Linked DNA regions of Daphnia pulex. The protein of the gene in region 1 purifies or fractionates together with the protein of each later gene. This does not show direct contact. Links are inferred from orthologs where the notes say so. Each region holds a gene or a part of one and is shown on either strand. Other genes may lie near its edges. The genes, in order: splicing factor 3A subunit 3-like, splicing factor 45-like, U1 small nuclear ribonucleoprotein 70 kDa-like, small nuclear ribonucleoprotein Sm D2 and splicing factor 3B subunit 6-like.

The links.
Region 2: the proteins of splicing factor 3A subunit 3-like (region 1) and splicing factor 45-like purify together in Homo sapiens (affinity purification with mass spectrometry; 4 studies listed by BioGRID and IntAct, counting the BioPlex papers as one, with this or other methods). This does not show direct contact. The link is inferred for Daphnia pulex from reciprocal best matches to the Homo sapiens genes SF3A3 and RBM17.
Region 3: the proteins of splicing factor 3A subunit 3-like (region 1) and U1 small nuclear ribonucleoprotein 70 kDa-like fractionate together in Homo sapiens (co-fractionation; 3 studies listed by BioGRID). This does not show direct contact. The link is inferred for Daphnia pulex from reciprocal best matches to the Homo sapiens genes SF3A3 and SNRNP70.
Region 4: the proteins of splicing factor 3A subunit 3-like (region 1) and small nuclear ribonucleoprotein Sm D2 fractionate together in Homo sapiens (co-fractionation; 3 studies listed by BioGRID and IntAct, with this or other methods). This does not show direct contact. The link is inferred for Daphnia pulex from reciprocal best matches to the Homo sapiens genes SF3A3 and SNRPD2.
Region 5: the proteins of splicing factor 3A subunit 3-like (region 1) and splicing factor 3B subunit 6-like purify together in Homo sapiens (affinity purification with mass spectrometry; 3 studies listed by BioGRID and IntAct, with this or other methods). This does not show direct contact. The link is inferred for Daphnia pulex from reciprocal best matches to the Homo sapiens genes SF3A3 and SF3B6.

Annotation. Positions count from the first base shown.
Region 1 is NC_060028.1:1,228,142-1,232,068, forward strand, and holds splicing factor 3A subunit 3-like, read left to right. Parts: upstream 1-1,177; 5' UTR 1,178-1,290; coding exon 1,291-1,434; intron 1,435-1,499; coding exon 1,500-1,658; intron 1,659-1,718; coding exon 1,719-1,791; intron 1,792-1,849; coding exon 1,850-1,941; intron 1,942-2,005; coding exon 2,006-2,227; intron 2,228-2,290; coding exon 2,291-2,601; intron 2,602-2,662; coding exon 2,663-2,771; intron 2,772-2,832; coding exon 2,833-2,907; intron 2,908-2,975; coding exon 2,976-3,177; intron 3,178-3,249; coding exon 3,250-3,383; 3' UTR 3,384-3,421; downstream 3,422-3,927. Other genes in the region: moesin/ezrin/radixin homolog 1-like, read right to left, coding at 494-535. UniProt on the Homo sapiens protein: Component of the 17S U2 SnRNP complex of the spliceosome, a large ribonucleoprotein complex that removes introns from transcribed pre-mRNAs.
Region 2 is NC_060018.1:8,645,028-8,648,823, reverse strand, and holds splicing factor 45-like, read right to left. Parts: upstream 2,535-3,796; 5' UTR 2,334-2,534; coding exon 2,220-2,333; intron 2,156-2,219; coding exon 1,915-2,155; intron 1,840-1,914; coding exon 1,746-1,839; intron 1,669-1,745; coding exon 1,245-1,668; intron 1,171-1,244; coding exon 996-1,170; intron 928-995; coding exon 830-927; 3' UTR 796-829; exon of another isoform or gene 707-795; 3' UTR 514-706; downstream 1-513. Other genes in the region: cyclin-G-associated kinase-like, read right to left, coding at 3,484-3,588, 3,662-3,796. UniProt on the Homo sapiens protein: Splice factor that binds to the single-stranded 3'AG at the exon/intron border and promotes its utilization in the second catalytic step. Involved in the regulation of alternative splicing and the utilization of cryptic splice sites.
Region 3 is NC_060026.1:6,141,064-6,145,055, forward strand, and holds the start of U1 small nuclear ribonucleoprotein 70 kDa-like, read right to left. Parts: upstream 2,801-3,992; 5' UTR 2,509-2,800; coding exon 2,365-2,508; intron 1,895-2,364; coding exon 1,777-1,894; intron 1,708-1,776; coding exon 1,643-1,707; intron 1,505-1,642; coding exon 1,442-1,504; intron 1,381-1,441; coding exon 1,299-1,380; intron 366-1,298; coding exon 285-365; intron 82-284; coding exon 1-81. UniProt on the Homo sapiens protein: Component of the spliceosomal U1 snRNP, which is essential for recognition of the pre-mRNA 5' splice-site and the subsequent assembly of the spliceosome. SNRNP70 binds to the loop I region of U1-snRNA.
Region 4 is NC_060018.1:305,180-308,001, forward strand, and holds small nuclear ribonucleoprotein Sm D2, read left to right. Parts: upstream 1-1,278; 5' UTR 1,279-1,449; intron 1,450-1,518; exon of another isoform or gene 1,519-1,550; 5' UTR 1,551-1,666; coding exon 1,667-1,671; intron 1,672-1,813; coding exon 1,814-2,069; intron 2,070-2,138; coding exon 2,139-2,246; 3' UTR 2,247-2,302; downstream 2,303-2,822. Other genes in the region: cofilin/actin-depolymerizing factor homolog, read right to left, coding at 68-70; proteasome subunit alpha type-6-like, read right to left, coding at 2,360-2,417, 2,480-2,690, 2,761-2,822. UniProt on the Homo sapiens protein: Plays a role in pre-mRNA splicing as a core component of the spliceosomal U1, U2, U4 and U5 small nuclear ribonucleoproteins (snRNPs), the building blocks of the spliceosome.
Region 5 is NC_060019.1:12,853,515-12,856,230, forward strand, and holds splicing factor 3B subunit 6-like, read right to left. Parts: upstream 1,244-2,716; 5' UTR 1,114-1,243; coding exon 1,084-1,113; intron 970-1,083; coding exon 851-969; intron 794-850; coding exon 574-793; 3' UTR 512-573; downstream 1-511. Other genes in the region: dolichyldiphosphatase 1-like, read left to right, coding at 1-88, 151-280; pantothenate kinase 3-like, read left to right, coding at 1,697-1,796, 1,858-2,048, 2,116-2,289, 2,358-2,525, 2,610-2,686.

The DNA.
Region 1 (3,927 bases):
ATAGCATATGGTCAACAAAATCTAAAGTACACAGATGGTCAGCATGTGGGCACATAGCTAGAGTGATGGGATTCTATATGTATATGTGAGTTGTCGAAAGGCCAGAGTGACTTCCCAACACATCCTGTCCATTTGGCAGGGTGCCGTCACAGTTTAGCGAATGCATCAGGGTTGATCGAAAACCAAGACATTCCTTTTGAAATGTCAAGAGGAGAAAAAATAAATTACGGTTGAATGGAAAGAATACAAGGAAGGAATGGTGATGTCATGGCTGGCCCGTACATTATTTCCAAACCCAGAGAGATGAGCATTCATTCAGACACCTGTATTTCAACATGAGCCTTGAGTGTCATTGATAGGGAAAGGATGAAAATAAGGGAGGGGGGAATGCTTAGGGCAAACACTCGAGTCAAGAGGCCGAATCGTTTTTCGATTTTTCACGATTCCCAATGGCGAACACACCAAACACAACTCAAGAAACACACACACACACCACGCCTATTGTTTGAACGACGGCCACCTGATAAACAAACATCAAGTTCTTTTCGGTTTGGATGTGTGGATATACACTAAAAAATGTTAATCAGATTAAATGTAAAAGAATAAAACAGAAATAAGTACTGTTGCGTATACGTGAAAACCACTCTCTCGGGTGACAGCCACTTATAACGCACTGAATCGGCGGCGGCTCTCGACCGTTGTTGGCCCTCAGTATACCTCCCCTCTTCGCTCTTCTGCAATATGGCTACCAATAGCTTAGCTCAGCTTTTTTTTCTTTTTTCTTTTTATTTCGATTTTCAAAGACTTCGCTCCATCCCTCTGGCGACACTAGGAAACATTACCGTCCTGAGTCCTGACAGCAAAAAAATGCTCACATTTTCTTGGAATGCAATGAATGAAATTGGTTTTTAATGATTAGGAATAAATTAAAATTTTTAATTAAGCTAGAAAATTTATTAAGCTGTGTATATTGAGAAGGTAAATGAATCAAAATTTAATTTTAAGGGGTTTACACTTTACAGTCTTGTAAACATGAAATGAGTAACAAATCATCAAATTTAAATTTAGACAATATATTCTTTTATTTTAACGAATTGTACCATTTTAATAATTAAAAACATTATAATTAAAAAAGTGAAAATAGTTTTTGCAAAAAATCGATAGAATACTTTAGTTCTTACAACGGCCACCAGTTTGTTTTCCAAGCCCAAGCATTGTGATTTTTGCTCGTTTATTGCCGGCTTGTTTAAATTTTTTTATTTTATCATACAATTCAATTCATTAAAACCAATGGAGACTTTGCTAGAGCAGCAGAGGAGATATCATGAAGAAAAAGAGCGTATCATCGACTCCATGGTCAAGGAAACAATCTTCAAAAAGACCACTCAAAGGGAGATAATCAACTCGGAACACCGTCAGAAAATTTTGCTTGACGTATGTAAACTTTGGCTCATACAATTGAACAAACAACTCTTAATGTCGTATTTTGATAACTGTAGAGGTATATGGAGAGTACAAGAGTTTTGAAAGAGATCTATGAAGACAAGGACGGACAGCGCAAAGAGGAGGTGGCACTGCTCTCTGGACCAAATGAATTTGTGGAATTTTACAACAGACTAAAACAGATCAAGGAATTTTACAAAAAACATCCAAATGAGGTATAAAACACATTCATTTTCTTTAAGTGTCATTCAATAGCAGTTGGTTTTGTTTCACAGATTGCTGTACCAATGTCCATGGAATTTGATGAGTTTGCCAAACAGAGAGAGAGTGGAGCTGACGAAACAAATAGTAGGTTATATCTGACAGAAAGCACAGTCATATAAAGCTAATGTAATTTGATTTTCAGATTTGGTTGACTTTACCGATGAGGAGGGCTATGGCAAATATTTGGATCTTCATGAAAGCTATGTGAAATACACAAATTTAAAAGGAATTCAGGTCAGTTTATAGATTGAAACAAGAAACAAATCGAAAAAAATTAACACAGTTATATTTCTTACAGAAAATTGACTACATTAGCTACCTTAATATGTTTGACCGTCTCTTTGATATTCCCCGGGAGAAGAAGAACGCTGAATACAGAAACTATCTACAAGCATTGGTGGATTATTTAGTCGATTATGTTGCTCGAGTAAAACCAGTCATGGACCTTGACAACTTGTTTCATGAAATCGAACAAGATTTCGAAAAGGACTTTGTAGCGGGTACATTTCCTGGATGGCCGGTAAGTCTATTTACGACTGTTTCTATTTTCTGTCCAACCTAACTAACGCTGGCAAATTTATAGAAAGAAACAACCGGAAGTGCTTTGGCAAACGCAGGTGCGGCGTTGGATATTTCAGCCTTTTCATCTTGTGAGGAATTGGCATCTCTAGGACTGGATCGTTTGAAATCAGCATTGATAGCTTTGGGTCTCAAGTGCGGTGGAACACTCGAAGACCGTGCCAAAAGACTCTTCAGTACAAAAGGTCTGTCGGTAGATGAAATTGACAAATCTCTCTTCGCCAAAGGCCAGGGTAAAAATCGAGGTGCTACCGAACAAGATAAGGAAGCCGAAAAACAAAAGAAGATTGCCCTTCTGGAGGCTCAAGTTTATAAGTAATTCCATTTAAATTATTGAATGAAATTGAATGAATAATTAATTGTGAATAATTCATAGACTGATTGAGATCTTGTCTGAACCACGGCATGCTACCAAAGAGAACGTGGAACGTAAACAGGCCCGAACAGATGGGGAACGAGAGGAGGAAGAAGAAGACGTTGTCGAGGTATAACTTAATTACTTTGACATATTTCCTTAAACTTTAAATTCTCAACTGCCATTTTCAGGTCCCCGAGGATGAAGATGAAGACGATGACGTCCCTTACAATCCCAAGAATTTACCACTAGGTTGGGATGGAAAGGTATAAATGAACCAACATTAATAATTGTGTAACTTTGTTCTAATCTTATCGATTCATCTCTTATCCAGCCCATTCCATATTGGCTTTACAAATTGCACGGCTTGAACATCAGCTACAATTGCGAGATTTGCGGCAATTACACGTACAAAGGTCCAAAGGCGTTTCAACGTCATTTTGCCGAATGGCGTCACGCTCACGGCATGCGGTGTCTGGGTATTCCCAACACGGCCCACTTTGCTAACGTAACACGAATCGAAGATGCAATTTCACGTAAGCTTTCAGTTTATTTTTGTTTTTCCTGTCCCCTACCGATTAATAATAAAATTCTAATTGAAACTTCAGTTTGGACAAAATTGAGAAGCCAGAAAACGTCAGAACGTTTCGTCGCCGATCACGAGGAAGAGTACGAGGACTCGATGGGCAACGTCATCCCCAAGAAAACGTACGAAGATTTGCGTCGACAGGGTCTCTTGTAAAGAAACATGACTGGAAAAATAAATCTTATAACTTCGTGCGCGGTTATATTTTTATTCCATCACATTTGCACAGAGGAAGCGCAAGCTCCTTGGTTGTTGTCGAGTGTCACTGTAATATTGGTAATCTTAATCTATGTTTCGATTTATCACTTTGTTGTCAACTTGTATTACTGAATCATCTTCCCATCACAAAACTTTGCTCAGATGGAGTTTTTCGTCATTCGTCTCAATTCCCAGCTCATCGACATGTCGAGAAAAAGAATATGGATTAATGCTTATGTGTCACTGATTTCCGTCGATATCCTCATCGATCAGCTACTTTTAGTATACTTGCATTTTAACACACTTAAAGTATATACCACCTTACTATAGGTATGTAATCTTAATCATATTCGAATTTTAAACAGTCATCTTATAACAAATATTTAAAACCTCTGAGCAATCACGATATTGAAAAGGCACCCCAAGCTTTAATCACTTGCTTATAATTGAATTTGTCTTTAATTGATAACATCTGTATTTGAAATATCGAAATGGCTGTGTG
Region 2 (3,796 bases), on another chromosome or scaffold:
TATGAGGTCAATAATAATGGCAATGACAGCTGACCTTGTTCTCGATCATGTTGAGACATGAACGATTCACGAAGAATTCTTTCAACATTATGATATCATAGGAATTTTGAGGCAAGAAGAGGTTCCCACTTTGCGTAGCTATTTCGAAGAACTACATATACTCATGGTTCTTGGAAACCGGATTATACTATTTAAAAAATACGTTAACGTCGATAGATCGTCCCCTATAAAATATTAACCTCATTTTTATATGAAAGTGGTTTAACCTACTGAATGTCACTTAAAAAACACTTAAGAAAAGAACCAATTTTCATGAAATTTTTTATGATTTGGAAACGGGATATATATATGGAAACCTACCGCCAAGTTTCCGAATTCAAATCTATACTTTTTTTATTACTAAATTCTAAGCATCCACTAGAAGTCTATTACTGATTTGCAGCTACGCTTGACAACTCAAATTTTAAAAAGTAGAATCTACCTTTTGATGAAAAATGAATGTAGTCGTGAAAATCAAAGTAAAGTAAATCTATTTTACACTTTGAATGTAGAACCTTGCTTGATCAACACATTTTTGTGCAATTCAATTATTTGTTCTGGTGTGATATTGCGAGGACACGCTAGCTTGTGAAGTTAGAATTTGTTTTGCTTCGTAGTAGTTTAAATTCATCTCTCTTCATCCCTTTTAAGGAATCAATCTTATTTCCTAGAACGAGAGAAAGGTTTTTCGTCCTAAAGGTCAAATGCTTCCAACTTTTGGGAACAACGCCATACCATGTAATTAAATTCAATTACTTTCGATTCGTAAAATTTATTTTTCAATACGTGTTCAATCATTCAGCTCCATCTTGAGAAATCTTTCCACATCATAGAATCCGGCTTTCACCTGCCGACCAGCAAAGAATCGGCCGTTGAGATCAATTACGGCTACAAAAAGAAACGACAGTTAACAATTTTTAACAGACCTGTGTTATTGTTCAACTGTAGTTAATTACCTTTGATGGCAGCTTCCATTCGTTTAAATTCAACAAAAATCCGTACAGCTTCCTCTTCCTCGGCGTTAGGTACCTCGAAAATAACAACTTTATTCACATCCCCGTATTTTGTCTGACATTCCTCGCGTACTTCGGGTTCCAAATCAGAATCCACTTCACCAGGGCCAACCATATTCTAATGAAAGGGGAAACAAACAAACAACAGAATTTGAAATGAGGACCGTGAAAATGATTGACCTATGACATTACCCTCAGATAAATCACTTTTGAAGGATTCTTCATGATATCAGCAATCGTTAATTCCGCTTTGGGAGCAGCTGTTGGCGACACAACAGGTGGCGGAGGAGGCATAATTTCTTTTTCATTGATAATACGTCCACCTCGCTTGCTTGTTTTTTCCACTTGTAAGGCAGCTGCAATACCTTGCTGTTGTCGTCCAAGTCCCTGACCTTCTTTGAATCCATATTTTGCCATGATCTTAGCAGCAACACCAAGAGCTCCAACCCCACTTCCAGTAGAGGAGAGAGAAGGATGAGATGGCGATGAGTTGTCTTGTAATGATGGAGGTGGGGCAATGGCAACTCCACCAGAAGTAGAGGACTTCTTCACCATTGGTTCCTCTTCCTCATCATGTAAACGTCCAGCAAAACCTGATCCTACAGCAGATGAGGACCTAAAACATGAAATGGTTATGTAATCAGTTTCTATCATCACCATATTTATTAGGCAGCTCCCAGTCCCATTATATACCTGTCTCTGGTTTTAATATCTCGATCATCCCTAGGCTTCCTTTTCTTTTCAGCTTCTTCTATTTCAATTTCAATCCCTCGTCGTTCCTTTCTCTCTAAACAAAAAACAAAAAAAAAAACAAAAATTATTGTATTCAGATTTTTCATTTTCTATAAAAGGTGCTGTGTACCCCTAATGATTTTGTCATAGTCAGTAGGATGCAGTGGATCATACTCTAGATTTGGGTCCCATTCCAATTCAGCAAAGAGTGAGGATCTCTCTTGTTTAGGAACAATAGTTGTCAAGAGTTGGGGTGTCTGATGAATCAGATTTTTGGTCATTTCAGGTTCAGTTTTTATCTGTGATTCAGTAGCTGTGAGGCAGGGTGGTATTACAGGATGGATAGCTCTTCGGATACCTTCACGTTTTGGCTAGGAAAAACAAATCTTTCTTCATAATCTATGAGTAACAAATGAAATGTAAATTGTAGGATACCTGTGTAATCATAGCTTTCTTTAAGTGCATCTGCGAATGTAAAAGCTTGATTCCTGACGACCATCCGGTGACAGATTTAGCTTTATTTTCGTCGATATCATCGTAAAGAGACATTTTCACAGCAAAGTAATTTCTTATATCCGTTGAATTAGTTGTCGTTCAAATCGTTTTTAAACAGAGCTCAGGACGCCTTCGCAGTAACATACACAAGAAATAAAAATAGACGACGAATGCAAATTGTACTGTATTTTTTTATGTTTTGATGTATTCATCTCATGAAAGGTGAAGGTGACTACTAAACAGCTACCTAAATCTGCAGTGAGGAACCAGGGGGCAGGGGCATGCCAGGGCCCAGCAGGGCCAGGGCCCAGGGGTGGCCAGGGGTGGCCAGGCACTACAGATACAGCGATACTACCCTGTTTCTACTTATAAATAATTGAATTGTTTTTTTGTCAATTAAACACCTTGCTTTTCGGATACGGAATAGAAAATACGGAGCTTCTCCCAAAAAATTGCCTCCTTGCGCATATCGTTGATTTTTGATTGTTTTGGGACAGGAATATTTTTGGGTCGGCCCTTTTACGAGTTACGACACCTCCAAATGTCGCCACAGTTGTGTGCCGTTAATTGTATGCGTATCTATATTATCGAGCGGACGGACTTGTTATAAGAGGTGTCTGTGACGAAGAATCAGTGACGAGAAAGAATAAAGTTATTTATATCGCAAATTCCAACAATTGGTTTGTGAGAAGTCACTGTTTTTCTGCAATAAAACTCAACGTGGCTACATCTTGCATCTGAACTTTCTGTAGCACCGAACAATAATTATTTTAATACTATTTTTAAATTAACTGAATTTAACCGAATCTTTAACGCTTCTTTTAAGAATCATTAATAATGATGCAGACACGTGTATTACTTCTTGAAAACCGGTAGCTATTAAACTTAAGCCGGGCGGAGATTACCGCCTTCGTTAGAGAAAACGAGACGACTTCTCCGTAGAAGAAACAGAAAGAGAACAATTAAAATCACGGAGAAGGAAAAGAAAGAAGAAAAGCGGCTGAGGAAAAGTTCTAAAAACGTGATGTAAGCTATTGTAGCTGAATTTGAAAGGAAATCTTGGGACGGTAGGGAGAGACATCGATTCCGAGTTACGACTAGATCATGGGCGTTTCGTATGAGTTAACCCAATGCTAGACAATTATAAACACGTAAATAGAACAATCAACGCTCGTAAACTATGAAGAATGGAGGAATGTATCTGTTATCGAAACATATTTTGCTGTGTTACGTCGTTTTCAAATTCAGACCAGGCGTCGTTCAGTTCCATAAAAATCATTTTTGCTATTTTCTCGTTGTCAGTTCCAGACTGTGTGATAATACATTCGAATTAAAGGCAACTTTTCTTACTAAATGTAAATGACGTGATAAATTTTACCAACCTGTTTGTCTGGATGCACTGCCAAGCAAGCCTTACGATACATTTTCTTGACATCCGTGTGCGACACTAGCTGGTGCATCCCCACGTCTTGCCATTTAGTGCCTTCCCAGAGAACGGTATGGAGCGAGCAGAGTAA
Region 3 (3,992 bases), on another chromosome or scaffold:
GTCCTGAATGTTTTACGTTTACATCTGGTCCTCCACGACGAGTCCCACCCAAGCCTCCACCCAAACGGCGAGGAAGCCAACCTGGAATGCAATAGTTTAGGTACTTAGAAACCATGGCGGCATGATTATAATATCTAACAAGAAGAAAAAAATTTTGTGCACTTATTTACACTGATTAATCAAAATAAAAAACCTATGGATTTTCAAAACAAATTTTAAAATTTGCCTTCGAAAAAAAGGGCAGCAAACTATAAACATAAAACTTATTTAATTAAAATAATTACCTTTGACAGTCCTTGCCCTTTCTACGTCTACAAGAACTCTGCGGCCGTCTATTTTCTTTCCGTCGGCGTGTTTGTACGCAGCTGGTATTTTAAAACAACAAACCAGTATTTCGGCGCCGTCGGCAAAACGAACAAATCGTAAATACGGGTAGTACAGCAGGCAGAGAAGACGAAAAATTCAGCGTGTATAACATGGAGAAGGAGAGTTCCAACAATTAGTATCACAAACCTAATATCACCTACCGAAGGATCTCCATTACCTACCCCTCCCAGCAATTTCGAAAAATATTTACCGTGAATTAACAAATAACGAAAAATGCAATGATTTCAAGTATGACCAATCATAACACTTGGAAAATGCATAAAAAACCAACGCCACGGCCGTTTACCAGATTACGGCTATGTTCACGTAACATCCAGATCTATTAATAAGCGATCAAATGTTGCCAATCACAGAAGCAGATCCATTCCCTCTTCAAGCTGTCCCCATCTTTACCTGTGAATCCTCTTAACGCGCAGCAGCACTCGAAGAATCTGATCGAATTGAAATGGCCCTAATTTTTAGTGGCGCTAGAAAGCCTAGTAACCGACTTACCAGGATACTTACTACCATCAAGGGGAAGGGAGGGTGAAAACGAAAAGATACTTTCTTTGAAGCTAATTTGAACCTGCAGTCGATTTCAAAGGGATTTTGGTTTAACTTTAACCAAACGAAACCTTACCAATTGACCATACAAACCTAGCATCAAGAGACAAAAAGCGACAAAGGCCACATGACCGTCCAAATAGTCGGAGGCCGCGACTGTGACCGGAAACGACAAAATGAAATATAGGAAAACTTTAAGGTACAAATCAATCACAGATTTTCCCCACCTCACCCCCACCCCTTTCATCATCATACAAATTGGTGGTGCGACGATTAATTGAACAGTGAAAGCTATCGCAGGCCTTACTAATTAGCCCACTACCCTCAGTTACCACACGACTTAGGTATAATAGAAAAGAAATACTTACAATGCATGTCTCGCTCATGTTCATACTCGATGAATGCATAACCGCGTGGCTTACTAGTCCTCTTGTCATGCACCAACACAATCTGTAACATTAAAAAGCGTGGTAAGCGTGTGATTAAATTTCACATGGTGCTTGTAAGTTACCTTCCGAACAACTCCGTACACTTCAAACTCCCTGCGCAATTTAGATTCCGAAGTATCAAAATTCTGAGAGAAAATGTTTCAAGAATTATCGTTTCATTCATGCGGATTACTAGTTATAACTTAGCACTCATTATTCATTAAGCTCGAAATAAAATAAAAGTGATGAGAAAAAAAAATTATAGTATGAGTATTGACACTTACAATGCGAGCAACGAACAGCGTTTTGAAGGGGTCCATGGTAGAAACACCATTACTGTGTGGATCCCCTATGAATGCCAGAGAAAAGGGAAATTGATAAAAGAAATTGTAGAAACACACCAAAAATTAGAACTTACACATTGCAATTTCCTGTTCAAGTTTATAGGCAACTTGTTCTGCCTTTTCGCGACGTTTTCTTTCGCGCCGTTCATCCCGTGTTTCTGCTCGCGTAGGAGGGGGTGTATCTTTAGGATCCTGTTAAGAATATAAAATGATATTAAAAATTTCGTTATGTTTGAAAGCTCAGTACTTAGTTCATCAGAATGCTTCTAGTATGCAATGTTTCGTTCCACATCTCTCATTTAAAACTTTGTGAAACAATGACTACTTTACACCCCTCAGACATATGCTAACATTAAATTGTCAACCTGATAAAAGGCTCAGCTGGAAACACTGTGCTTCCAGAAAATTAAGACACTTTCACAACATTTTCACAAAATATTTTGCATCTCACATGTCACACATGAAAACTTGGGATTCTCATCGACACATCTAGAGGAGAATGAATAAATGAACCAAAACTGTTCCATAAATTGGGATTGGGACCCGTGCATTAGTAAATTAAGACATACATTACTTCCCAAATCAATCAAATTAGATCAAATTGCAATACTTACCTTGACTACTATATCAATTTTTAATTTTTAATGGAATCAAATACTAACCTCAAACAGATTTGTATACTGCGCTATACCAATGTATGGCGTTCTTTTTTTTTCATGAGTCAATTTATCAGGTGGTGGTAAAAATGGAGGGGGATCGCGTGGCGCAAAAAGAGCCAAAAGATTTGGAGGCAAAAACTGCGTCATTTCACAAATATTTCAATGAGCATGGACCTTTCAAAAAGCTTCTCGGTCGAGCGTCTTAGCTGTCGGCCATTAGTCCATTACTGTCTATCTATTGCTCGGCAGGGCTGCCACTTTGGTCTTTGGTGGGATTTTCCCACTTTTGAAATTTTCAAGTTTTTAAAATTGAAAATACCCGTTTTAAAAAACGGGTATTGTGGGATGAGATGGGATTGAGATTTTAGGAAAAACAGCGGGATTTTGTAATTTCTAATTTATCTGACCAATTTCATAAATTTTTTTTGAGCCGTAAATAGGCTAGCAACAAAATATATATTTGGCAACTAGAAATAAAACTAAATTTAAAAAAGCAGACGAATCAATACCAGATCAGAATCAGACATATATAAAAGTAAATAGTCACTACAGTCAAAAACAGCGTTTTGGCCCCAACCAATTTGTATCAGTTTTTACTTTTTATATTGTTTTAAATATTATAATCGTAATACTAGACCCCCGGCCCTTTAGTTTGCTTGTTGCTTATTGCTTATTGGATTTTAATGGGTTTGGCGCTGATATTTTTCATTAAATTTCTTGAAAGTGGAGTCTAGTAAGTAGGTAGTAGGTAACTTATAACATTTAAATTAATGCTCTTTAAGGAAAAAAAACTATAAATACTACATAAAAATAGACATAATTAGGTTTCAAATGAGACTAAGGGGGAATTTCTACGTGCATTTTTGACAAGGTTTAATATATGGTAAACATATTTTATACGGTAAGATTTATTTCATTACTGCATCTCAAAAGATTCAAGTTGTACAGCATCTTTCAATTACATCCAAGTCCCAAATATTGGTAAATAAATAAATTAGTTCCTTTCTTTCTTACAAAGCCTTTTCGGCCTTTTCTTAAATACATTGCTGATGCGGTTAAGTTCGGTTAATGTTATTGTGGTTTTCAAAAATCAGCTTGGATTTCAACTTCTACTTGCAGACAAACCAAAACAAAGTAAAAAAAAACTGTTCGATATTATTTGGCCTCTTGATGGCGTAGAATTCAATTATTGAATTAATTGAAATTAATGGTTTCTTAGGATTAGGAATGTCTTTAATCTTGATGTATTTATCGTCTGAAAGTTGAGACGGTGTCTCTAGCTCTCTACTTTAAGACCATAACAAAATTTTACTTTAGTTAGCTAAATTTTTTGCGCCAAAAAACTCATACTGTTTCGTCCTTCATGCTTAACTCAGCTTAAGGATAGGCCTTTTTATCGTTAGCACATGCAAAAAAATAAACAAACAAAACGCGGCAAAGTCTGATACACACGACATGATTCTGAATCGAGTTTCCATCATCACGTGACCGCAAGCACTCCGCCGGTCCGCCCACAAAAATAAACCCAAAAATGGAACCATACAATCTGTGAACATGTTTCCATAGTTCTACTAAGGCAGATTGCCCGAGATACCTAGATGGGAAAACCTCCTAAACTGAATAATTTGGAT
Region 4 (2,822 bases), on another chromosome or scaffold:
TTGGAAGAATTCCACACGTATACAGCAAACACATTTCTAACGACATGACAATATCAACGTTACTCACCATTTTGGACTAAGAAAAAAGTCTAGAAAAATTTCACGCAAAGCTCAAAGACGCCTAAACTGAAAGATCAACCCGAATGACTGCGGGATGAGACGGCACTGGGGGGAGTGAGTGGTGCGAGTGAGAGAGAGAGAGAGAAAATGCCCTCGATAAGATTTTACTCGTGGCGCGGCGAAAGAAGAGGGGAAACTCAGAGTAGACTTCTCTACACCGGCCGGGACCTCGCACTGCAAAATGGCGGCTGTTCCCCAAACTTGAGAAAACTTGGCGCTACCCAGTCCACACCCAGAAAAGCGCGTCATCTGGGGGTGGAATACAGCGCCGTCAAACGATGCCTATTTCGAACCATATTACAAACTTCACTAATTTATCACAAATAAAACATATAATGATAGGCGCATCATTTATCATTTTAAAAATAATTTGTATGACTCTTATTCTGTTTGCTGTTATGTAAAATCTCAAATGTCGTTAAATGAATTCGGGTAACCGCCAGGGGTCTCTGCTTGCTTAGCGATTGAAGGATGATGCCGATTGTAGAGAATTTTGTGTGTACTGGTTGCACATTCTCTGATTGGTTGTCCATATCGGGCGCTTGTTAACCCGAAAAAGGGGAGCCCAAACCACAAACCTGGAGAGAGTTACGAAAAGTAACTTTTTCTGTAAAATCCTCTACTCGCAGATTTTTCTGCTTGAGCAAAAAGTTGCCGACTCTAAATGATCATTCCGACTTCCTAATAAATGGTGTGCATCTCGCATGAGTGTTTTAACGAAAAAAAAAAATTATTGGGCCAGTTGCACACTTATTCTTTCATTCAGTTTCTCGGGGAGGATGACCTTTTATGGGCAGACATCGATGACTCACATTTTTACTTCCCCTCCCTCTAATCTGCCCTCCCCTCCCCTATGTATTAAAAATCTGAAACTCTCGGGACCGGTGTCGACAACTTTCTCTGTTTCTATAATTTAGACCAAAAAGTTTCAATTGCCATAGATCGCCTTCGCACAATGAACAGCCGATAACAGCGTGATTCGAAAGTTTTCGCCGTTTCAGGATGACTTATCAACAACGCTGGAAAGCGTTCTCCATTGGGGACCATGAGAAAGAATAGTCTGTGCATACGGGGGGAATATGTCCATATATGGCATTAGACAAGCTATGCTACATAACATAACATCTGTCGGCTGACAATTGTCAACCGCTTCGGTTTTCTCTTGACTCTACTTTCTGAGGTTTGTATTTCCTTTCCTCTCGACTAAAACGAATTCCAGTACAGAGTCCCAGACGTCTGACGTCTGGGATTGTAAATGTTTTTCTTGGCAAATTTCATTCTTTTCTTTTCACAACAATTATTAGAAATTGAAACGTGTCTCTTAAAAATGTAAGTCAACATTAAAAAACAATTTTTGGCAATTAAATCGCAAATAAGACATAAAATAGCATCAACCGTCTAATGCTAATTAATACAATATGACAACGCAGCATGTACGTTTTGTTTACGAAAAACAAGTGAATAACGGTTTGAAAAGTTAAACGAAGCCGGGCTCAAAAATATTCCAAAGAATATTTCTCTATCCGTTTACATCCTTCTATTTATCATGGCGTAAGTAAAGCTTAAGTTCAATTTCAAAATAGAAAATTTTTAAATCTATATTTTCAGCTAGTTACAGTGTTCCGTGTCTGCAGATTTTTCTCTACTTGACAGTTTCGTATGAGCACTAAATAATAAATGTTTCTTTCCATAGGGCTGTTGCAAATAAACCCAAGTCGGAGATGACACCGGAGGAATTGGCCAAACGGGAAGAAGAAGAATTCAACACTGGACCACTTTCAGTTTTGACTCAGAGTGTAAAAAACAACACTCAGGTCTTGATCAACTGCCGTAACAACAAAAAGCTACTGGGACGTGTTAAAGCTTTTGACCGTCACTGCAATATGGTTCTAGAAAATGTCAAGGAAATGTGGACTGAAGTTCCCAGAACAGGGAAAGGAAAGAAGAAGGTAATTTTCACTATTTCTGCATTCATTCATTCATCTATCAACAGTGACAGTTGTATATTTATTTTATAGAGCAAACCAGTCAACAAGGACCGTTTTATCTCCAAAATGTTCCTACGTGGAGATTCTGTAATATTAGTATTAAGAAATCCTTTGGCTGGTACTCCTGGAGCAAAATAATTGTATGTGTTTATCTCTCACTTTTGTATGAAATAAAAAAATCGAACAGCGGAAAATGTGTTTTATTATCTCGTTTTATTCCAATGTTGAAAGAAAAAGTTACAAAATCAAACTTAATCTTTTTCGGCAATTGCAGTCAGATGCTTATCGATGTCAGTTTCCGACAGAATTCTATAACAATCAGATCAGTCACATTAATTTCCTAAACTTAAATATTTTGCGCATTTTCTTACCTAAATCCTGGTTGATCCTTAGAAACAACTCCAATTTCAATATCAGATGGCTTGAAATCAGCAGTTAGGATATGAGACAGAGTTGTAATAGCAAGCTGGATAACTTCATCATGTGTGTAGTTTTGTTTCTTTTTGTATTTCTTCTCAAGATACGACGATGCCTCGGTTTGTTTAACACCCACTGAAGTAGCACGATAACCACAGTAATATCCTTGAAAAAAAAGTAAAACAGCAATAAAGCATACAATTTGAGAACTTTACACCCTATTTTAGATATATACCTGCTGGGTCAGCTTTGTATACAGCAGGCCCCAATTCTTCATCATATGCAATGACAATCATA
Region 5 (2,716 bases), on another chromosome or scaffold:
GGGGATTACTTGGATCTGTTTTAGCAGTTTCGTGGTTCTTATTTACGCAATTCGCTCTAACGCCGTGGTTCCCAACTGTTGCATCATGGTTAGTTTTCCTCAAAAGTGTTTCCATGCCGATAACATGCAATATTCATTGTTATTTCTTAGGAGAGTGTGTGAATGGCTATTGGTGAGAGATCAAACATTAATCCCTAACATTATCTGGTTTGAATATACATCTCACCGGAGCGAATCAAAGCACAGAAGTCGAAAATTGGTCTCCATGAAGTCCCAGTAAAACTGGCTTGAAAATAATTTTGTGTTCAGTAGCTGCAGTGCAATTGTTTGTCTGTTTACTGTGCCTACAAATCTGTTATTCTTGAAAGCCGGATATTTCGTGAATATTCTTTTTAGAAAAAACATTTTTGAGTTGTAATAACTCGTGCAAATCATATTTGATATTCCATTACAATGGAATACCTCACAATTACACTGGTTGGAAAAGGGTCAATACTGGTTACAATTCACATAGTGAAAATGGTTTTTTTATTATACCAAATTGTACAATGAGAAATGAGGTCAATTTACATGTTATTCATCATTCAATCCAAATTTAGCCTTCATGCTTTCTATCTCTTCTTTCTTCTTGTCTGTGTCAACCTTTTTGAAGGCCTTTGTAGGTTGATAATAGAGTACTACAAGGTAACGATTGCAGACATTAAAACCAGAAAGATGATCACAAGCATTTTTTGCATCAAAAATGTCTTCATAGACCACAAAAGCTGTTCCTCTGGTTTCTGGAGTGTTCCCTCTATCAAATCAAATGAGTTACAATTGATGCTAACATATATTATCAATTTCTACTTACACTCTGATTTGCCGAATAGCTCCGTATTTTCCAAAGATATCATACATTTCTTCTGATGTAATTTTATAGGGAAGATTTCGGACATATAGGATTCTGTTTACTTCAGGAGGTAACCTCACCTGAAAAATAAAAATATTTAAGAAATGCTCACATGGAAATCTTGATGCACAACAATCTTGACTCAATATAATAAACTACTAATGATAAAAAAAAATTAACACATGATTGCATACGTTTAGCTTTTTCTGCATTGCCATCGCCATTGTTAGGAGTAAAATTCAGTTAAAACAACGAAATCACTGATCAATACAATTCAAAACTGTGCTCGTGAACTTGACAATAAGAACGCCGCTTGGTATTCAAAATGGCTGCATAGCAGACGACGATTCTGAGCTGACAGAATAAACAAAACATTATTTTCGTGTAATTCAATTAATTGGTTTTATGCACTAGAAAATTTGATTCAAATTAAATACTAAAAAAATGTATATATATCTCATAAAAATCTTTTCCTAGCTCAATTTACTCTTCACATTTTAATATTTTGGCAATGCTGATGTTTTAGCAGACGAATTTGTGTCAAATGAGGAATAGCATACTCAAATAAGAGAAAAGGAAAGGGGAAAAGTTTCCACATCGTACGACCCGAATTCCTTTTTCTATTGGTTCGAATATCAAGATATGATGCAGATGGCCACTATTCGAGTCGCGTAAACTGAACTGATTCGCTACTTCCGATATCAATTAAATAAAGGGATTTTTAAGCTTCATCCGGTGCTGTGCATACAATAAAGAATTGCTGGGATATAACTAAAGAAAGCACATTGAAATTCTGCACATTAACAGATGTCTTCTGATCACGAAACACAATATGGTCGCACAATGGATAGTGTAGAAAACAGGGTAACAAATGGCCATGATTCAAGTTCCACAGTTGTTCATTCTCGTAAGTATTGTTATTTTTAATCAATTAGTTGTGATAATAAACAATTATTTTTATTCTACAGCTAGCATGCCCTGGTTTGGAATGGATATAGGTGGAACTTTAGTTAAATTAGTGTATTTTGAACCAACTGACATTGCTCCTGAGGAAGAGAATGTAAGTTCGTCAGAAATTGAAACCTTACACAACATTCAAAAGTATCTCACTAGTAACAATGCTTATGGAGAGACAGGGCACCGAGACATTCATCTGCAGGTGTTTACATCTTCTAATCTTTCCTATTTTATCAGAAATTGATTTCAGTATAATTTTCAAATTTCAGATGAGTTCAATTCCAATGGGAAACAGAGTAGGAACATTACATTTCATCAGATTTCCTACCTCTGAAATGGAGCAATTTCTGCAGCTAGCAAAATCTAAAGGATTTGCCTCTCTGTCCACAACCATTTGTGCCACAGGTGGAGGTGCATACAAGTTTGAAAAAGACTTTTTAAGGGTTTGTACACTTTATGCAGCTTTGATTTCTTTTTCTTTTTTCTTATCTTGTTATACGGTTGTCTGTAGGCTGTTAATTTAAATCTACATAAATCGGACGAACTGGAATCCCTTATCGGTGGGCTCTTGTACATTGAAGAAATTCATCGTCCCGAGGTTTATTATTGGGAAAATCCAACTGACGAAACTAAGTGCGTAAAAAAAACATATGACTTCAAGAACCCATATCCGTTTTTGGTAATTCCATCATTTAAAAACTTTATTAACAAACAAATGACTTTAATTCTGTTGTTGTTACTTTCATCTGATTTTATTTTCTAGCTAGTAAATATTGGTTCAGGTGTGAGTATACTTGCTGTGTATGGCCCAAATAATTTCAAACGAGTCACCGGTACCAGGTAAAACAACGCATAGAAAACCAAAAAAAA